2 linked regions of the Xenopus tropicalis genome follow. The protein of the gene in region 1 interacts with the protein of each later gene in a biochemical or structural test. Links are inferred from orthologs where the notes say so. Each region holds a gene or a part of one and is shown on either strand. Other genes may lie near its edges. The genes, in order: amfr and herpud1.

Region 1 (3,822 bases):
TCTTATTTAAAGATCTTTTTTAACCCCACATTTAGTAGTACTCTTTAAAAAGAGGCACATTTCACTCTGCTCTTTATTCAGGAAATTCTCCTCTGCCTTACTGATTACACCAGCTCTGGTCCACTGTAAAATAACAGTGCACGTTCACAACTGTATACACTACATATACAGTAAACTATTAGTACCAAAATTATTTTAAACTACAAAAATATGCCCATAGGATTTGAAGAATTACATTTTAACACTAACATTTTCTGCATATGTCTATTGCCAGTTGCATCCTCTGTCCACACTTCTAAATTTTTGGTTAAAGCAGATATCACCCACAGTTACCTACTTGTGGAAAAGATGACCGCAGGGAAGCTTCCGAGCAGACTGCATTGAATCCCAGCAGATAGCGCAGTCATCGCTGTTAGCTTCAAGTTCCTCAGGAGTTGCTACAGCAAAACTTCAAGACAAAAAATATATAGCAGCATTCCTTCTACTTGTATCGTCTTACAATAGACATTCACATACATTAAAGCATAAAAGAAAAAACTCTAATCTTGTAGGCAGTTATGAATAATATATGGCACTGGTTTCACTTTGGTCTAAAAATTAATACTATCTGTAAAAATAGCCCCTTTATTGGAGCTTCCTTTAGATCCTCTCAGGTCCCTGTCCGAGCTTCAAATGAGGTCCTAACAGTCCTTGCCAGAAGCACAAAAGGAGGGGCATAGCCAATCATAGCCCTGAAGTCACACAAGCAAAGACAGGCTTCAGTTCCCTATCAGTTCAGTCTAACTGCTGAGTGGTTTCTATCCTACAGTGCAGTGTGCCGAGTGCTGCTATACCCCCTGCACAGCCTGGGAAAGGAAGCAGCAGGAAGTGGAACAGATGGGTGGGACTAGTAGGATTTTTGGAGAAACTTTCAATAAATCAGCCCAAAACACTACTTTTTAAAGCACATTCCTTCTATTTAGCGGAGTACAATTCATTGCACAATGTCCCCTTTAAAAAGAAAGTGACAATGTGTTCAAAATATATTTTCTTTTGAAATCATATTTTTTTTTAGAACTATGTTGCTGGCATGCCTATGTTTTGCCAGCAATACATTTTACGTAGCTGACAGTTAAGGGTTATTGTCTAGTTTGTTTGTTTTTTGTTTTTTTTTTTAAATAGACAGTAGATACAAATATACACACAATGTTTTACTTTGCATTCACTCTTTTGTGACCCATTATATTACATGCATGAGCTGTAAAAGCCTTAGTGTTCCTATGTAAACATACTACATAAGCTATTCTCTGGCCTCAAACTAACATTTTACAACACAATATCAATACTCACACACATTCTATATCATGTCAAGTCAAACATTGAAAAGGGACACACATGCAACATTTAACATAGCTGCTGTTATCTTAACCTCTGAACCTTCAGTCATGAACACTCACTGAGCTTCCATGTTTCCAACAACTCGTAAGTAGTTTTTGTGGCGTCGTATTCGGCGCTGAAATTCATGAAAGAGGTGGCGGAGCTGCATGAAGATGACAAGACTTGCCATGGACAGCCAGATATTACCAAAAAGCTGAAAAAGCACGAATAAAAGTTGTTAAATTTTGATAAATCCATAGTGCTTAAATAAAGATTAGGAGCTAGCTAGAGGGTGAGAAGAGAGTCAGAACATTAAGAGATGTAAAGAGTTAAAAACAATGTAGAAAAGGGCTACAAGGGAAAAGGGAAAAAACAAAACAGATACAGCACAAGAGAGAAAGAAAAGTTAAAAGGCAAAGGACAGGAAAGACAGAAAATGTAAAAAATGGCATTACATACCAACATGTGAATATGATGCATTAGGTCTATGGACAGATGGCTGAGCTCCATCACAAAATCTGTGTAGTATACATAAGTCCCTTTGCCCTCCCATGTTCCTTCGTGGTTTAGGTCCCAAAGGTGAATGACATAGCTGCAAGAACCCATATTATGAAACAATAGAAAGTTACCTAGCTAGTATAAATTGGCACTGATAAAAGTACAAGTGTTGAAGACAATATGGCCCTCAGTTTACAGGTCAAACAGAATTATTGTAATGCAAATCAAACAGAAAAATGCTCATGCCCAGAACACCTGATAAATGTGTCTCTTATACTTTGTTTCATGCACTGGCTTCCAATTAAATGGATTGGAAATGGATTCTTTTTAAAATCTGCCTTCTTATAATTAAGGCCCTAATTATCTGAAAAAACTCCTAATTTCTCATATCCCCAATCGCTACCTCCAATCTTCTCCATCGCAATAAAATCTATTTGCACTATATAAAACGGTCATCTGCAATCCAAAAATCATCTTCCTTAAATGTATTTAAAATCAATCTCAAAACATATACACGCACCTGGGCTTTCTGAGTAAATTAAAAAGTATCTTATTCATCAATAATGTTTGTGTCCCATGGGAGACAGGCACTATAAAATTTTATTATAGGTTTCCTGAACTGGCTTGCAGCAACTTGCAATGTTATCCACCCTCTGCCCACACATTAAACATTTCTACCACACAACACTTATATTTGTATGGGTCTTGTGTGTCCCACTCTGCATTTATATTGCAAAAAACCTTTACCTGCTACCTAAATTTCTCAGTTTAGAATTACAGCTATAGGACCCGTTATCCAGAATGCTTGGGATCAAGGGTATTCCGGATAATGGATCTTTCCATAATTTGGATCTCCATATCTTAAGTCTACTAAAAAAAAATCAATAAAAGATTGATTAAACCCAATAGGATTGTTTGCATCCAATAAGGATTAATGATATCTTAGTTGCGATCAAATACAAGCTTCTGTTTTATTATTAGAAAAAGGAAATCAAAATCAATTTTAAAAATCTAAATGATTTGATTAAAATGGAGTCTATGGGAGACAGGCTTTACAACATTCCTAAGCAATCCTAAATAGTTTCACAACTGCCGGCTACTAACAGCACGTTTCTTGTTCACATGACTGAGGGTATGGCTTCCAAGTGGCAAGGTGATTTTGATCACGTCAGCTCACAGGACCCTCAGATCATGCAGACCATTACTGCCTCAGATGGAGAACATCAGCATTCATAACACCGGTCTCTGCCTGCCGCCCTGGCTGATGCACAAGGAACAGTGACAGACAGACCTCTGCAAGCAAAACTCTCCTGGATCAACAATGCAATACCTCAACTTCAGTTACACAGTTTTTCTACATCACATCAAAGGCTACATTTTAGCACAAAACAACTCTTGCAGTAAAAGCACGAGCTATTGCTGTAAGATAATATACTTATTTGATATGTTTTGGTTTTAACACTATTGTACATACTTTCATTTAAAAAAAAATAAAAAAAAATAACACAATAATAGTTTTAGGGCTTACCGTAGCACAACATGAGTGGTTCTTGTTGTCACCAACATGCACTACAGGAATAAAAGTAATTCATTTTTAATGTGCACAGATAATCAGCAGCTTTTAGATCACAATTCTCTTAAGTGTCCAGCAACAGCATAAAATAAAAATATTATTTCTACAGTTAAAATGCGTACCTGTCCAACCATCACCTAAAATAGGTGATACCTCCTGAGGATGTGTAACATACCACATGAAACAAGTAGAGAACCTCAGAAGTTTCCAGGATTTTAAAGAATTTTTATTTAGTGCTTGAATGAATCTCTGTGAGTATTCCATTTGGGTTTATATTTATTTCTTATTAAAATGTTACTACACAATTTTGGTGCACTTTGTTTTCAGTGGGTATCCACATAAGATAGACAGAAGGTCCCTGATGAAAGATGGATGTTTGGCCTTGCTATTTATGC
Region 2 (4,473 bases), about 140 kb from region 1:
CTTAGCACTAAGTTATATGGTAAACAGCAGCACTAGCCTTCCTGCTAATTTGGCAGGACCTATGTTCTATACGAGTTGTGTGTGTGCAATCACATACAAAACACAGAGTTTAGTATTTACTCAGACCAGAAAAAAAATATATGGACAGCAGCCAGTCTTCCAATAAAATAATATCTTCATTTGCTCATCTTAAAAACTTCAGAGCCTTAAAGGAACAGTAACAAAAAAAATTAGAGTGTATAAAAGTAATTCCAATATAATGTAATGCTGCCCTGCACTGGTACAGCTGGTGTGTTTGCCTCAGAAACACTGCTATAGTTTATACAGAATGCTGCTGTGTAGCCAAGGGGGAAGTCATTCAAGGAGAAAAGGCACAAGCACATAGCAGATAACACATAAAACACTATTGTATTCTACAGAGGTTATTTGTTATCTGCAATGTAACCTGTGCCTTTTCTCCTTATTTCCAGCTTGAATGGCTGCCCCCGTGGCTGCACAGCAGCTTATTTATATAAACTATAGTGGTGTTACTGTAGCAAACACACAACTTTTACCAGTGCGGGGCAAAACTACACTGAGTTTAGTATTTACTCAGAATATTATTTGGGCCTTGTTTGAATCTCAAGTGTCCAGAATATTATTTAACATGGCTTTTTCATAATGACGCAGGTCTTCTAGGGTTGCCACCTTTTCTGGAAAAAATACTTTCTTTCCTATGTTGTTTTTTTCTATTTACAGAATTGGCATTAAGCAGCAACACCAGGCAGGAGGCAACCCTAAGGCCCTCTCATGCTTTTTTTCCTATGGACTTTCAGTGTAGCTGTGGCATGTCACCCAGAACATCAAGCCTTATGCATCAACATAAGTTGAAATCATTTGGATTCAATACTAATGATAATTACATTCTAGCTTTATGGTGCCTTCTGGATAGGTTTGGCCTTCTGAGACTTCACTGATGTTTTTATTGTCATGTAAACAATATCAAAAAGGGAACTTTATTTGAATAAAACTGTACAACCCTTATTTTATAGTTAAGCATCACACTTTACTAAACTACAAAGATATATTTTTAATGCCCTGCCGTTTTTACAGCAAATACATGCCAAGCACTACTAGTCTACTGTAGTAGATTCCCTTTTAATTTAGAAATCTATATAATACCCTTAGCAACAACGTTTGGCCAAGTCTCCTATTTTCTGCATATTTTAACAAGATAGTGGTCTAAAGCCAGTAAGCATTTAATTTACTATAATACAAAATTCTGTATGCCTTTTTAAATCGTGCGCAAATTGGCATTTCAGGGTCTATCGCTTCTCACCCGCCGCCATTTATTGTGCCTCAGTCACAACATGGCCGACAACTCCGCTATCCAGAGAGCTGTAGCAAACTAGACATTCCAAACCAAACCACCAGGATTGCATCAGACTGACTCCACCCCCAGTTACTGCTCGAAGTTAATTCGCACACGTAGTACCATGAGACCCTAATTTGGCCAATCAGAAGCAGCCACACGTTGTTTGGCAACAAGCGCTTTGGACTATAAAGGAATCTGCTCTGACGCGGCGAGCTCACTGTAGATAGAACTGGTTAGAGGGTTGTGGGAAGTTGGTTGAGAGGGGCACCGGAAGTGGCGTGTCAGTGCTACAGTCATGTCGGACGGAGAAGTAACTTTGCTTATACGCAGTCCCAGCCTCAGGCAGGAGGAAAGAGAGATCAGTGCACCTCGAAATTGTACTGTACGTGAACTGAAAACACAACTAAGGCAAGAACTACCAGGGGAGCCGGTAAGAATCGTCCGACAGACGTGTAACCTAAGCCACTCCCACCCAAATATATGCGATGTGTTTGGATCTGAGTCTGTTTACTGGCAATTCCATTTGTCCTTTCAGCAGGGTTTGACACTAGTGCCGTTGTTGGTGAGATTGTTGCTCAGTATAAATTGCGTAATATTGTTCAGCCTTGGTTAAAGCGTCAGAATCAGGGCCTCGTTGTAATTCCATTTTATGGCTCCGGGTCCCGTCACGGGTGTAATAATTTGTGCCACGTCCGATTTAAAAAAAAAAATCTAACTCTTTAGGTTGTCGGTATTGACTGGGCTGTTGCGACCGTCTGCCTACTGTACCAATATGGCTGCTCTTGCCAATAACATCGCAAGATTAAAGCAGGGCTTTGTCCCTTAATACATCGTCATTATTAGTTTTTCTACGCCAGAGAGATCTGTAGTCTTTAGTGCCCGCTTTGAGGCAGGCAAAGTGATATATAATCATATAATACTTCAATGGTGACATGGGGCAAATGGCATTCCTGTGTCTGTTGTCCCTATGTAACATCTATAAAGGCAGGGAAAGATTTGTGATGTATATACCATTGTCTCTTAATTAGCACTAGTGAGTGCTGCTAACCCTCATTTGGTCTGACCTGATATTTTATGGTATAGAGCTGTAACTGAGCTGCCTGCAGCCCTTGGACTGTCACTGTATAACTCCCAGCATTCCATGAAAGCTTAAAGAAGGGAGTTGCCAATAGGAGCTTGAGGGGTGTTTTGGTATCCTTGGAATGCTGACATTGCTATCTGAACTGTTGTTGAAGGTTGCTGTTGATTTACAAGTCGATTTTCTGACTTTTAAAAGTAGGTATGCAGTTTTTTCAATTCTGAGAAATGGTAGGCAATTAAAGTGTTTGTGTCGGCTACACTAACAATGTTATAAAGTTTGGTGACTGGTCAGCTGCTGATTTTCTTACTATATATGCTTATTTCAGTAATTATAGATTATGCATTATATAACAGTTATGATCAAATTAGACTTTCATGGGATGTCATGTTTTTTTTTTGTGATTGCGGCTTGGAACATGGTCTTGTTTTTCTGACATGGTATCTTTAATTCCTCTTACAGTAGTTTTGTCAACAGTCTATCATTAAAACCATATTCTGTCACTGTGGGCACATATTCTAACTATGCATGTATCTATATTATTCTAATTTTGGGGGTAGTATTAATCAACTCTTATTGTGGTAGTAACAAGAAGTCTGGCAGAAGTTGTGGTGATTTGTATTTGCACTGTAGCAGAAGCACTATAGAACACAATTTGCAACCACTAGGACTGCTACGTGTTGTCATTTGAATAAGTGATGGTAAGCACCTTCCTTTCCTCTAATTCAGAGTGCTTCTCTGAGAACATTAGTGATTCATGGTCATTTTCTGGTGGTTTTACATTTTTATACTGAATACCAGAAGTGCATAAATAGACATTTGGGGTCTGATCTAAAGAGAGCTGGTGAGCTGAGAACCTGCTATTGGCAGTCTAAAACTGTAAAAGGACAAGGAGCATTATAATCATTTGGGGTACCAAAATGTTAACCAACCCCCAATAATTGTACTTGCCTACCTGAGAACCCAGGCCAATGCTCTTGCTTGCTGAAAGCTACCCCGTCCTGGGTGCTAAGATAGAAGTGACATGTCACCATCTTCTAAATCTCTGGCAATGGCTTGGGATTTAATAGCTTAAAGTTATCATAGAGTATGCTAGTTAGGCCTCTGGATTCTGCGAGTAGATCCTCAACTCTTATGTCTGTTTGTTTTTAGATGGAACAAGATCAGAGATTGATCTATGCTGGGAAGTTGCTTCCTGATCACCTAAAACTGAATGAAGTTCTTTCTATGGTAAATATTCTGTAGTTCACCTTCTAATTTTTTCCCCCTACAGAAAATGTTAATCTGAAGCTGTGCTTTGATAGAATGATTGTTGAAAGCTGTGTTTATTTTTATTTTTTTTTACAGGAGAGCAGACATGTACTGCACCTTGTTTGTTCCAAAAGGATCCCATTAAATCAGGTACCTTACTTTGATAACATATGATTTTTATTCCTTATGGCAGGGTCAGCGATTTCTGAAATCAGTGATGGGCAGTATATGACCAGGCTTCATATGCTTTGTCACTCTATTGTATACATATGAAGCATTGCCTTCTGTTGTAACATTGGCTAAAGGCCATACATGTTAAGATCCACTCACTTGGTGAGGGCACCAAGCGAACGGATCTTCTCCCGATATCCCCACCTATGGGTGGGGGATATCGGGCAAATGTAGGCTAATTTGATTAAATTATAACAGCGGCAGTGGGCGCATTTGGTTCGGGGACTGCATCAATGAGCCGATGCGGTCCCGATCTGACTAAATCTTTTAACCTGCCCGTCGTTCCTGCCCATACACGGGCCAATAAGCTGCCGAATCGGTCTAAGGGACCAATATCGGAAGCTACAATCGGCCCGTGTATGGCCACCTTAACAGTTTTCCACTGTTGCTGTTATGCAACAAAAGTAATTAGCCAATTACCTTCCATTAATATCATTCCATATATCTCCACATCACCAGGCTTCGGTGCCTAAAAAATGATGTCACATTTTTTTCCTAGAGCATCAAATTCAGGCGGCATAAAATAGAACACACCATGATAAATTTGCCATTTGTTTTG

What was found.
Region 2: of the proteins of amfr (region 1) and herpud1, one has a biochemical effect on the other in vitro, tested with the Homo sapiens proteins (6 studies listed by BioGRID and IntAct, with this or other methods). The link is inferred for Xenopus tropicalis from reciprocal best matches to the Homo sapiens genes AMFR and HERPUD1.

The regions. Positions count from the first base shown.
Region 1 is NC_030680.2:51,704,671-51,708,492, forward strand, and holds part of amfr (E3 ubiquitin-protein ligase AMFR), read right to left. Parts: intron 3,424-3,822; coding exon 3,383-3,423; intron 1,949-3,382; coding exon 1,816-1,948; intron 1,571-1,815; coding exon 1,437-1,570; intron 449-1,436; coding exon 338-448; intron 1-337. UniProt on the Homo sapiens protein: E3 ubiquitin-protein ligase that mediates the polyubiquitination of lysine and cysteine residues on target proteins, such as CD3D, CYP3A4, CFTR, INSIG1, SOAT2/ACAT2 and APOB for proteasomal degradation.
Region 2 is NC_030680.2:51,566,008-51,570,480, reverse strand, and holds the start of herpud1 (homocysteine-responsive endoplasmic reticulum-resident ubiquitin-like domain member 1 protein), read left to right. Parts: upstream 1-1,557; 5' UTR 1,558-1,649; coding exon 1,650-1,784; intron 1,785-3,584; coding exon 3,585-3,662; intron 3,663-3,779; coding exon 3,780-3,833; intron 3,834-4,473. UniProt on the Homo sapiens protein: Component of the endoplasmic reticulum quality control (ERQC) system also called ER-associated degradation (ERAD) involved in ubiquitin-dependent degradation of misfolded endoplasmic reticulum proteins.